2 linked regions of the Daphnia pulex genome follow. The protein of the gene in region 2 interacts with the protein of the main gene of each other region in a pairwise test. Links are inferred from orthologs where the notes say so. Each region holds a gene or a part of one and is shown on either strand. Other genes may lie near its edges.

What was found.
Region 1: the proteins of peripheral plasma membrane protein CASK-like (region 2) and potassium voltage-gated channel protein eag-like interact in binary tests that used the Drosophila melanogaster proteins (3 or more experiments, as listed by UniProt). The link is inferred for Daphnia pulex from reciprocal best matches to the Drosophila melanogaster genes CASK and eag.

Annotation. Positions count from the first base shown.
Region 1 is NC_060017.1:2,828,463-2,832,584, reverse strand, and holds part of potassium voltage-gated channel protein eag-like, read left to right. Parts: intron 1-1,786; coding exon 1,787-1,887; intron 1,888-2,383; coding exon 2,384-2,516; intron 2,517-3,082; coding exon 3,083-3,211; intron 3,212-3,921; coding exon 3,922-4,061; intron 4,062-4,122. UniProt on the Drosophila melanogaster protein: Structural component of a potassium channel. Mediates the potassium permeability of membranes; potassium current is regulated by CaMKII and CASK. Has a role in growth of the perineurial glial layer of the larval peripheral nerve.
Region 2 is NC_060018.1:1,069,261-1,073,904, forward strand, and holds the start of peripheral plasma membrane protein CASK-like, read left to right. Parts: upstream 1-1,576; 5' UTR 1,577-1,721; intron 1,722-2,092; 5' UTR 2,093-2,110; coding exon 2,111-2,169; intron 2,170-2,233; coding exon 2,234-2,346; intron 2,347-2,406; coding exon 2,407-2,512; intron 2,513-2,583; coding exon 2,584-2,661; intron 2,662-2,725; coding exon 2,726-2,901; intron 2,902-2,969; coding exon 2,970-3,145; intron 3,146-3,231; coding exon 3,232-3,354; intron 3,355-3,431; coding exon 3,432-3,621; intron 3,622-4,509; coding exon 4,510-4,637; intron 4,638-4,644. Other genes in the region: ATPase family AAA domain-containing protein 2-like, read right to left, coding at 1-108, 173-400, 463-819, 881-1,111.

The sequences.
Region 1 (4,122 bases), on a different chromosome or scaffold from region 2:
GTGTGTGGCAGCAGCTGTATGGAGGGAGATAGGACTAGGAGTTAGATCCGTCGCATGGGACGACGTTCCCGGTGCTCTCCTGTGTACCTCGAAATCCTTTGAGATCCCCTTAGTCGTCCTCAACATTTTTCAGACTGATAAAAATTTCCGGGAATCGGCTCCCAAGGCAACGGATGAAATAGAAACCAGGAAGTTTAAGAAAATCAAAATTTCGTTTTGTTTTTTCTTGACCGAGTATAATATTGGATATTTCTTGATTTTACCATCGTGAATAAAACATTGTCTCCCCTAGAGACGACAGTCTAATTTCATTTGCTCGTTTGATCCGGTGAGTTTGCATATTTCATCACTTCAGTAGATATGGCTTATTTCATGACGAGCCTGTGACGAGCGTATCTGCATTTTTCGGTGAGGGAGGGGGGCGCCCATCTTTCTCAATCTGTCAGTCCAGTCCGTCCGTTCGTCCGAATCTGGGAGAAACGGAGCGACAGCTGGGCGGTAGCAGCAGACATGTCCGCGCCTCGAGCGTTGATACACAGACACCCGAGATCGTCTCCGCGTTGACTCATATGCCAGTAGTGAAAACGAGGAGAGTTTGTCTCGAGCAACAGTCGCAGAAAGAGAGAATCTAAACTTAATAATCAAAGAACCAACAAGCGCATCAGCTGGATGGGAGACAGAGTGGAGAGGATAAGGACCTGCCGGGCTCGGCCAGCAACAGCCAAACAAAAACAACGGACGTCTGTCTGTATAAATAGACAGAAATGGCGACTTGTTTTTTTCTGAACCAAAAGAAAGTAAAAAAGAAGAAACTGCCGCCTGGCTCGTCGCGTTGCCAAGCAACGGCGTGATAAAAAACACAAAAAAACAAAAACAAAAATCAAATAATCAAAAAGGCGAATCTTTTTTGGCATGTGATCCGGTTGTTGGCGGTTGGTGAGAGGAGCGCATATCAAAGTGACGGAAGCAACTGCATCTCTCACTTTGGTCTTATATAACGAGACCAGTTGAACTTTGACGGCGCCGATTAAATCGCATCAGGGAAATTGGGCGCCCAATTTGATTCGATGACTCTGATGCGAGTGATGTTGTTGATGTTATACACATATAGTATACCCGGTAAAATGCTCTCTGACGTCTATGATAATTAGCCGGGATTGTGTCATTGTGCGGAATCAGATCAATGGCTAACGGGAAGAAAAGGAGCCCCAAAGTTTAGACAACAGGCTCTAGCTCTCTCTCTCCTGTACTCTATAGAAGCGCAAAGTATGCGATGCATGAATGAACAATATTAGACACAAAAGGAGTTATTATATACACACACATACTGTGTATAGAGTGTGTGTATGTGTGGGATATGTATACATATATACTCTGGTCGCCATGGAGTCGGAGTCACGGGGGTTGTTGCCTTTTCAAGTGAAAAAGGCCGAAACTTGATCAATTCAAGGGTGTGTCCGCCGGTGAATGAAAACGGAAACTCGAACTATTATGCAGTCGCACAACTGTTTTCTATCGTGACGTATGAGAGCAGAGCCCCAGCACCAATTAGCCCTTGCGGCCGTGCTGCGCCGTTACGTAATAACACGCGCGGCACACGGAATCAGTCTGTAATCGACTGTACTATATATAATAATAATAACGCTATCGTTCACCCCCTATTGAATTGGCGCCTTTAACTAATTCGATTTTTGTTCTCTTTTATACTCAATTCCGCTGCTGCTATGCTACGTGACACTGATGGATTGGATTTTCAATTTCGGGGCTCATCAACGTGGACTGGCAGCCGACAGCAGTTTCCTCCTGGCTAACGCTCAAATCGTCGACTATCCCATCGTCTATTGCAACGAATCCTTCTGCAAGATCTCTGGCTACAACCGAGCAGAAGTGAGTTCCGCTGTCTGTCCAATTCTTATTCAATCGTCTGTATATATAAGATGCACCAGATAGATTGCTGCCGCGCTTGTAGACTGCTATCCGTCTAATAAGATACAACAGCGCTTGTTATACTACACCCGTAGATTTCCACTTGCCAAAAATAGCTAGAGAGAGAGAGAGAGAAAGAGAGAAAAATTGAGAGGGGCGAGTTCTTTTGACTCTCTATCGATTATCGAAGAAGCCTAACAAATAATAAGAGAGCTATACACAGTACTAATGCATGTACCGGTAGTGGCATATAGCGTACAAGCTATACTGCTGCCATACTGGAAGATGAAGCACATCAGCAAATGCTAATGATTTTTGTATGTGCTCTCTCTCTCTCTCTCTGTCTGCTTTCGATCGATGCATCGATCCAGAGCTTGTTGGAAATGTTCTTGTTTTGTTCACACACAAAAAGAAATGAAATCCCCTCAAAAAAAAAAAAATTTCTGAATGTGCACAGGTGATGCAGAAATCGTGTCGCTGTTCGTTCATGTGCGGCGAGATGACGGACAAGGAGACGATCCAGCGGGTGGACGAGTGCCTGGAGCAGTACACTCAAGACCAGTTCGAGATTTTGCTCTACAAGAAGAATCGTACGATCCTTTTTGATTATTTCCATTTTTCAGATTTCTACCACTACACAAACATTTTGAGACTTTTGATATAAATGTATATAGATTTTCCCTTTTGTGGTTTTGGTTTGGGAGAGGACATTATCAACCTCTGGGTTTTGCGTCCTCTGTTAACATTTTTTGAAGGCCATGAATTAAATATAGGGTGGCATGGATGGGGGAATATACATACTATACAGGGAAATGAAAATAATGCCTCGGCGTAATATATTTCAGTCCCTACACAACAGGAGAAACTTGGTCTTTTCTTTTTGGAAAGGCAAAAGAAAAGAATAAAATAGCCGCCGTCCAAATTGGATGGTTGTATCATTTCCCTCGGGGTGCGGACTTGTTTGTTTTGATTAGCCAACGGAGAATCAATTTTTTGTTCTTTTTTTTCTTATTCGACAAATTTCGTAGTACATTTTCCCTCATCTTTGAATAATCATCTAGTCGTAGTATATTTATACCTTTATAGTTTTCTATGGAGGGAAATATTATTTTGTTTTTCGGGCTGTGTATATAATTGGTCGTTATCGGGGCTGCAGGTTCTCCGCTGTGGCTGCTGTTGCAGATAGCGCCCATTAAAAACGAGCGGGACGTCGTCGTTCTCTTCTTGTGCACTTTCCGTGACATCACCGCCCTCAAGCAGCCGCTCGAGAGTGAAGAATCCAAAGGTAATGCCAGCCATCTTCTTCTTCTTCTTTTTTTCCTGCCAAATTTTCGTTTTCTTCTCTCTTGCCTCAAGGGGGGTTTCTTCTTTCAGCCTATTATATTTAGAATGCTATCCATAATATAAGGCCGTCTACTAATAAATATTACATATATATATATACCTGTGGAAAGAAAAGGGGGGCAGACAGACAAGTACATAAGCAGAAAGCAACAGCCCAAATCAGCCTCATGCAACGTATGAGCAAAAATCAAATCTGAAAGAAGAAGAAGAATAAAAAAAAGCCTTGGGAAATCGATATAGGTCGTCTGATATATATGTGCCTCATGCTCCATACCAGTAAGAACAAAAAGAAAGTCTTGGTTATATAGAATATAATAGACGAAATACTAGACGACGCCACGTAAGTATCGAATGCCCAATACGTCGGGCTATAAAAACATAGATATAGACTGCTCAGATGATGATTATGTATTGCACCGTGTAATACAAGATCCTAGCATGGAGATCCTATTTATAGCCGTATATCCAACATCAAATAAGTTGAAATCAATGTCACATCCAATCATCAGGGCGCCGTATATCATAAATATCTCAATTTAATTCCCAATTTCTTTTCTTATTTTTTGGTTTCCTTTTGATTTTATCCGTGGGCTGCTGCTCGTGATTTACGAACTCCGGAATTGTGTGGGCGTTTTAAAAAACCCCATCAAGGTCTGAGCAAGTTCGCCAAACTGGCCCGTTCGGTGACACGGAGCCGGACCGTTTTGGTCTCGCAATTCTCCTCGCACATCCCGGCCGCTGCCAACACCAAGGAAGTGGCTGCCATCAATAAGCAGTCCAACTTTGCTCACGTAAGTTCTTCATTTTCCCTTTTTTTTTTGAAATAAATGGGAAAAAAATAAACAACCGGGC
Region 2 (4,644 bases):
CGGCGTTTTCTTTGCGTTTATTACTGTTGAATGATAACCAGAGTAATTTGGCCTTGAAGAATTGCTTGAAGACCGAAGGCGCCGATTCTTGATCTCTGTGTACATATCCTACAACAATAAACAACAATATTACCGAGATATCTCCCAACGAGATAATTTGATGATTTATTACTTGGTCGTTCATGGAAGTCTGGTATCGCGACACTTTTTTTTTCTTTGCTTTATTGCGTTTTCGGATTTGTGCACGTCTGTTAGCGATCTGACGAGCATCTTCCTCGTCCTCAATGTCTTGATCTACTTCTTCTTGACGTTTTGGGACGAGATTACGTAGACGTCTAGTATGCATTCGGTCATTTCCTTCTGCTGCTGTGTCTTCTTCTTTGATTGCAGCAGGATATCCCTAAAAATTCAGCAAGTGTAAATCTTATAACTCTAGTCATGAGAAAAATTCATAACACTAACCTTGACATTTTTTTCAGCAAATATCCAACTGTCGTTGTAAGTGTACATTTGTCTTTTTGCTCTCTGGCTCCTGCGAACACCATCATGACTTTCATCATGCTTCTCAGTTTCACTTTCTGCAACAGAAATCTTTCTTTGGTTTGTACTGTTTACTTCTTCATCGTGACTTTCTTCTGCACTGTTGAGCTTTGCTTCTGCTTCCTGTGAAGTTTCTTCTGGTTCGACCAAGACTAGCCTCTTTCTCTTGCCTCCTCCACTTTTCATCACTTGACGTTTTGACAATGGAGTATCCTCTGAAGAAATTTCGTTGACAAACTGGCCTCTTCTAGAATTAGATCTTGATGAACGCTGACCAGTCTGGAAGCAGAAAAAATTATTGAAAAAAACACTACTATGCCTATTGAAAATGTTTTCTTACCAAAACTGGTGACATGTTGGCACGATCTGCTGAAGGAGTTCGCTTCATTTGAAGAGCTGAAAGGGGCCGAAAGGGTACTTTACACTCACTCTGCTCATCTTTGCTCGAAGAGGAATCTTTTTCAGAAGAATTGTCATCGTTCATAGTTTCTTCATCATCATCCTCTTTGTCCTCACTATCTTGACAGTTTGCTCCGTCCGAAACATTAGGAATTTTACCTCGGGTAAGCATTTTAAAATTTACCTTAAAAAACTATCGCACTTGTTATGACAAGTCGTTATTGACACGCTTAGTGAGTTAATCGTAATAAACCGCCAATTCTTTTAGGACAACAAAAGCTCAACTTCACTTTTTCCACGGTTTAACGAAAAGGAGGAAGGTTAACGAAGCTTGTTCTGACCACGACCTTTAATCGGCGCAAAATGGTGGCTCACATTTAAATTTTCAAAAGAAAAAATGAAAAAACACAGAAGAACTAAACTGTTCTCTAGGAGAAAAGTTGCTCATTTCTCCAAGAAGATCAACTCACGATTGCTTTTTAACTGAAATCCCAACGTAATTGTCTAATTCGATAATAATCAAGCGCTTTTCCGAGACACAAAAATACAATAACATAGTGATCTTCAGGAATAAAATAGTACGCAGGGATTTCCTTAGAATGACACTAGAGGCGCTGCGGATAGCCTAGGCTGGGATCCAGGGAAAAGATCGAAGTAATGTCTGCTCTGTGTGTAATGGGCAAGGCAAGACGCTTCGTCCAAGAATGGCTTAAAGACTTGTTGTACATTTATTAGTTGCGTTTGTTTGGTGAAATTTTTCTGTTTTGGACCAAATTGCTAATGTAAGTACCTATCTACTATCAAGAATCAAAATCATCGTCGTTTGAATTCTCATATTCGTACCGGAGAAGGGGATGGGCGTTTTTTGGCAGCACTCACAGGAAACAGCATGCTAGTGGAAATATTATTATGGCAAGGGAAAGGGGAGGGGAATGTTTAGTAAACCTGCAATCAAATTCTTTTAGATATGTTTATTCTTTAAGGTTACTTTTCTATAGAAGGGTGTTTAGTTGCCATTTCCTTCTTAGGCTGAAAGTGAACCTGATAGATCAGGAAATGGTTGGTTGAACTCAATTAATGCACCCACACAATAAGAATGACAGCACTTCCTTTCTATTTCTTACTAACCTGAATTTGAATTCTTTCTCAACAGTGTTCTACAAGCTTCAAAATGACTGAAGATGATATTTTGTTTGATGAAGCTTACGAGTTACAAGAAGTTATTTGGAGGTAAACATCATCATTAAACTTTATCATTTTCCCAATAATTTTTTGTCATTAAATTAAATTTCAGGGGTTCATGCAGTGTTATTAGGCGCTGCACCCACCGGTTAACAGCACAACATTTTGCTGTTAAAATTGTTGATGCAGCCAAATTTACTGCCATTCCGTCACTCACACTTGACAGTATGTTTAAATGTAGATTTTTAACTTTACTAATCCCTAATTATTTCAAATTATTTTTAGATCTTAAACTTGAGGCCACCATATGCCACATGCTTAAACACCCCCACATAGTAGAGTTATTAGAAACCTACAGTTCTGAAGGAATGGTGTACATGGTGTATGAATTGTAAGTTTTTACACTCCTGCTTGTACATATGGGTAATGATTGACTGAATCTATTATTTTTAAAAAAATTAGGATGGAAGGAGCTGATTTGTGTATAGAAATTGTTAAACGTGCCACATCTGGTTTTGTTTATAGTGAAGCTGTAGCAAGGTAACCTAATTTACCTTCTTAAACGTAAGTTGGAATTACATTAACCTTTGGTTGGTTTGTTTAGCCATTATTTTCGTCAAGTGCTTGAGGCACTCCGTTACTGCCATGATCACGACATTATCCATCGAGATTTACGACCTCACAACATTTTGCTTGCAAATAAAGAAAATTCGGCGCCCGTAAAACTAGCGGGTTTCGGATGCGCTAAGCGTCTTACTGACGAAGATGTGGTGACATCAGGTCTGATTGTTGATGTTATGTTTTCCCATTCAATGTACAGTATTAGTTCAAGTATTAATTTTGTATAGGTCGATTGGGAGATAGCTTCTATATTAGCCCTGAAATGGCTTTAAATCGACCGCATGGCAAAGCGTCGGACATATGGAGTGCAGGAGTATTGCTCCATATTCTGCTGTCTGGAACACAACCTTTTTTGGGGACAGACGAATCCTTGAGATACACCATCTGCAGTGGCGAGCTGCACGTAAGTGGACATCGTAAATTTATTTCAAGGCCTTCTAGCCTAGATCCTTCTAAATTTGTCCGCATTTTTCCTGGGCAATTTTGCAGTTCGATGCTCCAGTCTGGGGAGCCATTAGTGACCACGCAAAGGATTTACTGCAGCAGCTTTTGTGCGTCGACCAAAACGATCGTCTATCGGTTCACGAAGCTTTGGAACACCGGTGGCTCAAGGTGAATTTTGAATTTTTCCTTGCCTTTGTGGACGTGACCAATGCAAAACCTGCTTTGACTGCTTGATTTGTATTCAGAATCGAGACAAGTGCGCCTCCAGAGACCACCTCCACCTCACCGTAGAAGAGATGCGCATATTCAATGCTCGTAGGAAGCTCAAGAGTTTGATCGTGGCCACGGCAAATTCCATCAAATGGGGGCATCCTTCTTTAGATCCCAACTGCGACGCCTTTTCCGATATTGATGAAGATGAATCAATATCCAACAGTAAGTCACGCACTATTTTAATAGTGACCTACGGGCTTTTAAATAGATTATTTTTCGATTCCCCTTTGGAGTTGCATGAATGTTTGCGGGGATATTGTATGTAGCAATTACGTCAGTTGGTGGATGTGTAGCAAGAGGGCGTTCGCAGGAACAAGAGAATTTGTGGAAACCGGATACCGTGAACTTCAGCTAGCTTTATTTAGATTTATTTCTCTTCATAGATTTGCACGACCAATCTTGATAACTTATTTTTAATTTTAACTTGCAATACGTGTTCCTCGATAAATCGGTGCCGTAATACGCAAAAATCCAATTCTTTCCAACCTTGGATAATAGTTGAGTTTTTGTTCAAACGAAATGCTAAATTTATCGCTCGTAAATTTCTTTCCGAACCATATTGAGTCGCTTTTATTTCCAACCGGGGGAATCCCATATGGTAGTCGTCTCCGGTTTCCATTTGCGGTTTAAGAGTTGTGGCTGGTTTACTCCATTGAAGAGGATTCCGCTAGTAAAAAAGGCTTTCATTGACGGACGGGGGGATCACATCCGCTCTTTTATTGGGGGATGGCTTTCGTCCTGATTGGATTTCATTGATTGGCACCTCTTGTTGGATGCCTGCCGAATGAAAGGAGAGCACATTGCAGGAAATTTACTTTTTATTACTTTGATACCAAGTAAATAAAACTTTAACACGTGAAAGCTTAAAGTTGGGTTTATTTTAAAATAGAAGTGTGCCCGCTAATTGATCGAATTCCTTTTTACGGATTATCAGCATACTGCATTTCACGCGTACTAAAATGGTTTTCTAGTATCCCTTCAACATGCTTTCGTGTTTTAAAGGATGCTGGTTAAATGTTCATTTTTGTTGTTGTTGTTTCATTTCGTTAGATGCTGTCAATGCTGTCCTCGATAGTATTGACGAGATCCAGTTTCTCCAGGATACCCCATGGATTCAGCGGGATGTGGAAAGCATGCGACAAGTTCTTAATAGTTCCAGACTTCATTCACTCTTGACGGTAAGAA